Macaca mulatta: one gene and its partner. The protein of the gene in region 2 interacts with the protein of the main gene of each other region in a pairwise test. Links are inferred from orthologs where the notes say so. Each region holds a gene or a part of one and is shown on either strand. Other genes may lie near its edges.

Region 1 (5,549 bases), on a different chromosome or scaffold from region 2:
GATCATGAGATCTTATGAATCAATGGAGATAACTAGATAAGCTGTGTCCTACAAAGAAACTGATTATATGTGGCAAGCAGGAGCTAAAAAAAGAGCCCTCAATTACATAAATAACTTATTTATTTATTTATTTATTTTGAGACCGGATCTCACTCTGTCACCCAGGCTCGAGTGTGGTGGTGCGATCTCGGCTCACTGCAGCCTCAACATCCTGAGCTCAAGTGATCCCCCCACTTCAGCTTCCCCAGTAGCTGGGAATACAGATGCGCACCACCATGCCTGACTAATTTTTTTTTTTTTGCAGAGATAGGGTTTTGCCATGTTGCTCAGGCTGGTCTTGAACTCCTGGGGTCAAGTGATCTGCCTGCCTCGGCCTTCCAAAGTGATGGGATTAGAGGCGTGGGCCACCACGCCCAGCCTAAAGGGCTTCTTGAGTGCAGAATCACTTCCTACTATCTTTTATCTCCTTAATGATTACAACCTAAATCAAGACTAATGAAAATGTACATATTACAGAGAATTAGTAATACAAATAGTAGACACTATTACCTATAAAACTGGAAAAATCATTCACAGCTCTTATTCACCCTGATATTTTCTGCTATATTCCTATATTATCTAATTGTTTATCTCTATTTGGATACCTAACACCTATAGAACCAGATAACCTTCCATCTGTTTATGAAATGTAAACAATCCACATTTTTCCAAAAGAAGTGCTAAAGAATTACCACATTACTATGCACTTTTATATAATCTTACTAATTTCTATTTTAATAACATTTCATGCAAATGTTAAACACAAGATAGAGATTTTTTCCTCAACATTTATGTGTACAGATACCACTGACAACCTTAAAACACTTAAATATGGTATAATTCTCTCATGTTTGGAACCAATGGAGATCATCAGATCTTATTTTTTACCTTGTTAGTTGTTTTTGGTTTTCCAAAAACTCCAGAATCTTTTAGAAGTTTTTCTTGTTTGAATTCTTCTTGCTTTCGGAAGAGTTCGGCCTTAAGATCTACCAACTAGAATAAAAGCAGTAAGTAAACAAAAATATTAAATTTTTGCAGGTGACTGGATTGCTAAATTATTTTAATTTCCAAAGGAATATTTCAAGTTCTGCTAAATGGACAAATATGGCTAAAAAACTAAAGGTTTAAATAACTTAATGTTTAAATGTAGAATCCAGTACACAAATTAAGCTAAATCATGTTTCATTCTACCTCTGCTGCAAATGCATTTTTACTCTAACTTTCAACACCTGAGGCTTTCCTTAGTCAAGGAGAAAGTGATAAAGCAAAATAAAATTAATGAAGTCTGCATCTTTTAGTTTCAGATTAAACTTGCGTTATTAAGCACCTTCTCTGTGACTAGCACTGCACTCATTTAATCATCACTACTTATTATTTCTACAGGGAAATGCCGTTATTCCAAAACTATCTGAGCATCCAGTTTGTGCATGGTACTTAACACTGAAGAGCAGAACATAAACATGAATTAGACATACTCTCTACCTCAAAGAGCCTACAATGTAACAAGGAAAGTAATTTATAATACTAGCAAAATGTAACAAATGACTCTAGAATGGAAGAAAGTAGCACACAAGTTCAGATAAGGGAGCATTTCCTTCCGAGCAGAGTGATCAGAGAAAGCTTTGAGCAGAGCCTTTAAAGACACATTATTTCAACAGCTAGAAATCAAATAGACTGGGTGAATTGTAACAGCTCCACGTCTGACTTAATCCATTTCAAAAACCATAAGTTTGGCTGAATCTCACGGTTCAAGAAGAGGAAAGAAGGCCAAGGCATAGGGAGTGGGGCAGTTGGGTGAGTATTAGTGCCTTTCCCTCAGCTACAGTTGTCACCCCTGCCTACTCTGCAAAAGATAAAACAACAGTTCCCTTTTTAAGGGTCCAGGTACAGCTGCTTATATGGATGGGCATTTGTAAATCACATACTTAATCACTGACTTAACCATCAGATACTTAAAAAATCACTTTACTTGTTAAGGAAAATAAAAATGGCTGAGTTCAATTTCCATTTTGGAAGAAATTGATTTAAAAGGTAATCATTTAAAAATGCAAAGGGCAGTTTCACTGCAGACCCTAATACTGTAAATTCTTAAAAACAAATGAAAAACTTCTTTTTCTTCTCAGCTTACATAACCACACCAAATTTTCCAGCCACATATCTTCCTAGTCTACAATGGCCTTTGACTTTAAAAGATGCTCAAAAAATTGTAAATTCTCAAATAGCATTCTTATTACAATTATTGCTAATTTTAGCCTATCAGTATAGGTTGGCTTTAATATTTATAGCTTTTTGGTTCCTGATCTTCAAACAAACATAATAACTAGTACCAATTTTAACCAATACTAGTTACCAATAATAACTAGTACTCAAATATTGGGACACCTATGTTTTCCTTCATACTCCCTTTGTGTACTTAAGTAAATTCAAGATTAAATCAAAGGTTGGGCAATTTGCTCTGATGATGAAAAGGCAGCAGCTCTGGAGTCAGCTAGACTGAATGAGCAAGGGTCTATCACTAAGATTTCTTCTCCCGCCCCAGCCCCAGACGGAGTTTGGCTCTTGTTGCCCAGGCTGGAGTGCAATGGTGCAATCTCGGCTCACCGCAACCTCCGCCTCCAAGGTTCAAGCGATTCTCCTGCCTCAGCCTTCCGAGTAGCTGGCATTACAGGCATGCGCCACCACGCCCGGCTAATTGTTTTTATTTTTAGTAGAGACAGGGTTTCTCCATGTTGGTTAGGCTGGTCTCGAACTCCCGACCTCAGGTGATCCGCACGCCTCGGCCTCCCAAAGTACTGGGATTACAGGCGCGAGCACAGGCCTGAGCCACCACGCCCGGCTATCACTAAGATTTCTGTATGTAAGCTGGGGAAAGCTACTTCATCTTTCTGGGCCTCAATTTCATCATCTATAAAACGGAGATATTAATAGCACCTACCTCCTAAAGCCATTGGGAGGATTAGTGAGAGTGTATATAAAAGTGCTGGCACAAAATGTGTACTTAGAACACGTTTTCTTTCTAGGGTAGCTGATTTAATAAAACTGCTTACATCCTTTCAGACTTCACAGTTCCCTATGGCTGCATTAACAACTATTTAGTTCCAGGTGGGGAACGCTGGGCACTTTCGGCTCCTGTGGAATATGTCACACTCTAAAGTTCTGGGAGGACTTTGGGGGTCCCTGAATGGAGGAGAAACCAGGAAGAGGATATGTCTGCATAGCAAAAAGAAGCTACGGTTCCTCCCGACTGTAAGGGAGAAGGCTGGCGAGGTGCAGGTCCTTGCGGGCAGGGCAGAGGGAGGTAGGGAGATTCCTAACCCACGGGACACCAGGTTCAGGTCCGTGTCTGAGGGTTCTGGTTCGGGCGCGTGTCAGAGAAGAGAAGCCCAGTTCAGGATCCTGTAAGAAAACTGAACCGGATCCCCGTTGGAGAAGAAAATCCAGGTCGGGGATTCCTGTTTGAGGGGAGAGGTCAGATCTCTGGGTCCCCGACTGAAGAAACAAGCTAGGTCGACATTCTTGTCTGATGGAGATAGGGTGAACCCGGAGCCCATGGAGTTACCTCATACCCTCACTCACCGAGGAGGCCGTGACGTCCAAAGGTTTTTTCCTACGGTCCATGGTCGTGCCGCAGTGACCCGGCCCAAGAGCAACCCTTCGCACCCGAAGCAGGCCTCGTAAACCTACCTCCGTCGCAACCGGAAGTGTCTTCGATAACGACACTGAGTTTGCGTGAGTTTGCGACGCGAGTTTGTCAGCTCAACGCCATCTTGAGAAGGTCAAAGTGTGGTGCGTATTACGTTCGCCATCATTTTGGAAAGGTCAGAGAGTGCGGAGGTTGACGCTAACTGCTAAGGTCATCTTGAGGGCGGAAGGTAACAAGATTAGCGTGGGCGCCATCTTGAGAAGGGCCGAAAAAGCTTTTGATTGTGATGGACGCCATATTGGGTGGGGCGGATGTGGGGTTGGGGACAAAGATAACGCCGTCTTGGGTAAGGCTGACGCTTGAGTGAGTGAACTCGAGCGTCTCGGGAAAGGTGGATTGGGAGGACCGGAAGAATCTAACTACAATTCGACGACCTGCTGCCTGGCACTTTTCACACGTTAAATAGTTGGTTCTTAGAAGAGCGTACGAGATAAGGATTATTATATTAATCTTAGCAGAAATAACAAGCATAATAGCTAACATTAATATAGTGCTTATTATGTGCCACTTTACATTATTTCAGCTCTTAAGAAAGTGAACTCAGGCCGGGCGCGGTGGCTCAAGCCTGTAATCCCAGCACTTTGGGAGGCCGAGACGGGCGGATCACGAGGTCAGGAGATCGAGACCATCCTGGCTAACATGGTGAAACGCCGTCTCTACTAAAACATACAAAAAACTAGCCGGGCGAGGTGGCGGGCGCCTGTAGTCCCAGCTACGCGGGAGGCTGAGCCAGGAGAATGGCGTGAACCTGGGAGGCGGAGCTTGCAGTGAGCTGAGATCTGGCCACTGCACTCTAGCCTGGGTGACAAAGCAAGACTCCGTCTCAAAAAAAAAAAAAAAAAAAAAAAAAAAAGAAAGTGAACTCCTCGGCCGGGCGCGGTGGCTCACGCCTGTAACCCCAGAACTTTGGGAGGCCGAGGCGGGTGAATCAGGAGGTCAGGAGTTTGAGACCAGCCTGACCAACATGGTGAAACCCTGTCTCTACTGAAAAAAAAAAAAAAAAAAAAAATTAGCTGGGTGTGGTGGTGCCCACCTGTATTCCCAGCTACTCAGAAGGCTGAGGCAGAAGAATCGCTTGAACCCGTGAGTTGGAGGTTGCAGTGAGTCAAGATGATGCCATTGCACTCCAGCCTGGGCACAAAGCAAGACTGGGTCTCAAAAAAAAAAAAAAAAAAAGTGAACTCTAAAGCTGGCTTTCTGGGTTGGAATCGCTGCTTCACTGCTTACTGCCTGTGTAACCTTGGGCAAGTTACTTAACTTCCCTGTGCCTTAGTTTCCAAAGGGGATATAATTTCATTTACCTCATGGGTCTTAGTGAAGATTAGATGAGTTAAATGAGCTAGTCTTGATAAACATGTTAATGATTATGGTAGACAGACTAATCACCCTTACCCCCACTCCTAGATGTCTACCTTCGAATACCCAGAATCTGGATATATGGTGACCTTTATATAGCAAAAGGGAATTGGCAGAGATGATGAAATTAAAGCTATTGAGATGGGGAGCTAGCCTGGATTGTGCAGGTGGGTCCCCTATCATCGAATCATCCTTATAAGGGGTAGACAGGATGGCCAGAGTCAGAAAGAGATCAGAGATGCTTTGAAGAGGGAGAGTGGGACCCCATGCCTAGGTATGCAGGAGGCCCTAGAAAAAGCAGATAAATGGGCGCTCCTCCAGTCTGCAGAAGGAATGCAGCATTGCTGACACGGTGATTTTAGTCTTGAACACTCATCTCAAACTTCTGACTTCAGAATTCTACAAGAATTGTTTTAAGCCACCAAACTTGTGGCAATTTGTTACAGCAGCA
Region 2 (3,955 bases):
AGCCCAGGAGTTGGAGGCCACCGTGAGCGGTGATTGTGCCATCCTGGGTGACAGAACAAGCCTGTCTTAAAAAATATTGCAAAATATGTGCGTGGTATTATGATACATATACATATATACACTATGCATCTATGCAGCAGCTCCAGGTGGGGAGTCTCAGAGTTCACTGGAGGGCACTGCACTCCTGTCTCCTGCTTGGTGGGCAGGAAAAGCCCCATTCCCCAGTCACTCACAGACGTCATCTCCTGTGTTGAGGATTGTGTTGGTGTGAGAGCAGAGGAAAAACCTAATTTGGGGGTTTTTCCTAAAACAATATGTTTCCAGACTTTCTGTACATAACTGTAGTTAATAGATGTGGAATCACGTGTATTCGGTTTGATAATCTGCTTTTTAAAAAATGCATCTGTCCATGATAAGTGTTCTGTGGCCTGTTTAATGGCAATAAGGTATTCTGTTGGAGGGATGTTCCATAATATATTTCTTGGTTGTGTAGGCTATTTCATTCTTTAAGATAAATTGGAGGGTGGGCACAGTGGCTCACACCTGTAATCCCAGCACTTTGGGAGGCCGAGGTGGGAGGATCACCTGAGGTCAGGAGTTCAAGACCAGCCTGGGCAACATGACGAAATTCCGTCTCTATTAAAAATACAAAAATAAGCCAGGTGTACGTGGTGGTGGGTAGTAATGTGTGCCCATAATCCCAGCTACCCGGAAGACTGAGCCAGGAGAATTGCTGGAACCCGGGAGGTGGAGGTGCAGTGAGCCAAGATCGCCCCACTGCACTGCAGCCTGGGCAATAGAGCAAGACTCTATCTCAAAAAAAAAAAAAAACACACACCCACATGCACACAAAGATAAATTGGTAGGATTCGGATGTACACTTTCTTGGATTTTCATAGGTGTTTTGAAGTGAGGACCTCTAGGTGATAGCAATTCTTCTCTTAGAATAGTGATTGGGAAATGCATGGTGATGTGTCACCTCGAATTCACTGTGAGGGTCTGTGGCAGGCCCCCCAGGGTCTTCATAAGGGTATCAGGTGGGTGGTGAGGAAGTGCTTTGTTCTCAGCACTCACCAGCGGTACCCGTGGGCATCCTCTCAGCCACGTCTCGGGCCTCTGGTTCCAGCAGTTTTTTGGGGGGCCTGTGCTCTGAGCACCTCACATCCCTCCCCTCCTCCTTCTGGGGCCCTTTATTGGACCCCCTGCTCCTCGTTGAGGTTAAAGGTTCGGTGACCACACTCAGTTTCTGTGGTGGCTGAGGAAGCCCTGGGTTGTGGGTGGCTCTTTGTGCTTGTGGCACTTAGGGCAGAGGTCCTCACAGTGAGGGGCACAGGCCGGGAGCATCCTTGTCACCTGGGGACTTGTAGAAATGCAGATTCTCTGGCCGCATATGATTTATGGAGTCAGAGCCTCCAGTTCATTAACTGGCCCTGTGGTGAGGAGGCTGGGCCCCTGCCTGCTCCTGGCTCCCTTCTCCTTTGCCCAGCTCTGCCCAGGCCTGGCGGAGGGTGCATGTGTGCTGGCTCCCGTGTTGATTCCGCCTGTGCCATGTTAAATAATGTGAATAAGTGGGCAGCATTTTTCACTGGGAGATTTTCTGTAACAAGATGTCTGGGTTCTCTTTAAAATGTGGCAGGTCTGGGCCCAGTGGATGCCAATCTCACAGGACAGTGGCAGGTGGAAGTGAGTCGGGACTGCGCCGCAGGCATCTGAGATTGTGGGTGACTCAGGCCAGCCTCTCTATTGCTTTTTATTTGGCGTCTAGGACTCTCGGGGTGGGTTTCTTGATCCCTAGAGCACTTCAGATTGAAGAAGCACCAGAGGAAAACCAGATTCCCTCAACCAGATAACACTCGGGGGGGGGCGGGGAGTAGGGACGGAGAGAACGCGTGGATGTGGCCTGGTTCTGTAAAAGTGAGATCCTGTCAACCGTACCTTATCCCCACTCTGCCTCTCACCCAGTGGGAACGCTGGGCGTGCCGCCCTAAGCATCCCTCACCTGTCTTGCGCCCTGTCCCAGGTTTCAAAGAGCAGATCTATGACGTGTACAGGTACCTGCCTCCAGCCACACAGGTGGTGCTCATCAGTGCCACGCTGCCACACGAGATTCTGGAGATGACCAACAAGTTCATGACCGACCCAATCCGCATCTTGGTGAAACGGTAGGAGCCCCTCTAGTCGAGTTTACTAAAACACTGGGCCCCATTTATAAAGGATTTTATGTCGTAATTTCAAAAACTTTTTATAGCCAGGGTGTTGCTGTGTTGCTGAAGCTGGTGTCAGAATCTGGGCCTCAGGCTATCCTCCTGCCTGAGTGTAAAGGAATTTAAAGCATGCAAATTCTTTTAAAATTCCTGTTTTGAAAAACTGAATAGGCTGGGCTACATAGGGAGACCCTATCTCTACAAATAATAAAAGATTAGCCAGGTAGGGTGGCACATGCCTGTAGTCCCAGCTACTCAGGAGGCTGAGGTGGGAGGATTGCTTGAGGCCAGGAGGCTGAGGCTGCAGTGAGCTGTGATCGTGCCACTGCACTTCAGCCATGGCAACAGAGCAAGACCCTGTCTCAAACAAACAAAACAAAACAAAACAAAAAAACCCATCTTTTATAATACTCATTGTGGTTTGAACCAATAATTCTAAATTTAAAAATTAGATGACTGTATTTACTTACCAGTGTTTTGTTTAGAATCATATTCCACGTGGTGCACATTGTGAAATGTTCAGTAGGATACAGAATAGAGACCTGTGTGACGGAAGTGCTGACGGGATGGAGGATAGGGCTGGGGCGCTGGGTCTGCACCAGATACCACGGTGTGACCTTCTCCACCGGGGTCTCCCTGCATCCTGGCTTGGCCCGCCCTCAAGTCCTAGCTGGAAGAATGAGGATGTAACAGGATTTGTCTTTGTCCTTCAGTGATGAATTGACTCTGGAAGGCATCAAGCAATTTTTTGTGGCAGTGGAGAGGGAAGAGTGGAAATTTGACACTCTGTGTGACCTCTACGACACACTGACCATCACTCAGGCGGTCATCTTCTGCAACACCAAAAGAAAGGTAAGAGGTACTGCATGGCCTCCATGTGCTTGAAGGGGAATTGCAGATTGAGTCTCTGAATGACTTAAATCAAGATTTTTCAGTGAAGGGCCAGTTTGTCCATATTTTAAGCTTTCGGGGTATGTGGTCTCTTGCAAAAGCAGCTGTAGACAATATGCAAATGGTCAGATATGGCTGTGACCATTAAAACTTTATTTACAGAACAGCGATGCCAGCCACCCTGAAAGATTCAGATTTCGTTGAAGGTGGAACCCAGGCTTGAGTAGTTTTAGATCCCCAGGTGATGATAATGTGGAGGCAGACCTGAGGACTGTCGGCCACTTTCCTGAGAAAGGAAAGGAATTGGGCTACATTCTGACAAGACTGGAATTCAAATTTCAAATGAGAATGAGCACACCTGGCCCCCTCCCCCATAGAGTCATTATGTGGAGAAAATGAAGTAAGAGGGTTTTGTGAGTGCACCCCAACATTTTCTGGGAAAAAGTTTGTGCATCCAGTTAGGATGATCCTGAGTTTTAAGAGCAGTTACTTTGAGAATATTGATACTGGTTCTGCAAATGATGGGGGTAAAATCCCGAATGCACATCTCTGGTTTGGTGTACGAACTTGCAGTAGCATCTGCTGATTGGATTTGTAGGTGGACTGGCTGACAGAAAAAATGAGAGAAGCCAACTTCACTGTGTCCTCAATGCACGGAGACATGCCCCAGAAAGAGCGGGAGTCCATCATGAAGGAGTTCCGGTCGGGCGCCAGGTGGGTCCGCTGTGCTGTGGCTCTGCCGGTCAGGGTTTGCTAGACTGTGTGCTAAGCACTTCATATGCACTGCCTGAGGCAGGCCCCAGAGCTGGGGAGATGACGAGCTCCTGCTCTGAAAGCTGAGGCCCTGGGTGAGCAGAAAA

The links. The genes of interacting proteins can lie anywhere in the genome.
Region 1: the proteins of EIF4A3 (region 2) and CCDC174 interact in binary tests that used the Homo sapiens proteins (3 or more experiments, as listed by UniProt). The two-hybrid records come from large-scale screens. The link is inferred for Macaca mulatta from reciprocal best matches to the Homo sapiens genes EIF4A3 and CCDC174.

Annotation. Positions count from the first base shown.
Region 1 is NC_133407.1:153,457,539-153,463,087, reverse strand, and holds the start of CCDC174 (coiled-coil domain-containing protein 174), read right to left. Parts: upstream 3,743-5,549; 5' UTR 3,658-3,742; coding exon 3,616-3,657; intron 1,033-3,615; coding exon 928-1,032; intron 1-927. UniProt on the Homo sapiens protein: Probably involved in neuronal development.
Region 2 is NC_133421.1:89,823,783-89,827,737, reverse strand, and holds part of EIF4A3 (eukaryotic initiation factor 4A-III), read left to right. Parts: intron 1-2,020; coding exon 2,021-2,162; intron 2,163-2,917; coding exon 2,918-3,056; intron 3,057-3,693; coding exon 3,694-3,809; intron 3,810-3,955. UniProt on the Homo sapiens protein: ATP-dependent RNA helicase. Involved in pre-mRNA splicing as component of the spliceosome. Core component of the splicing-dependent multiprotein exon junction complex (EJC) deposited at splice junctions on mRNAs.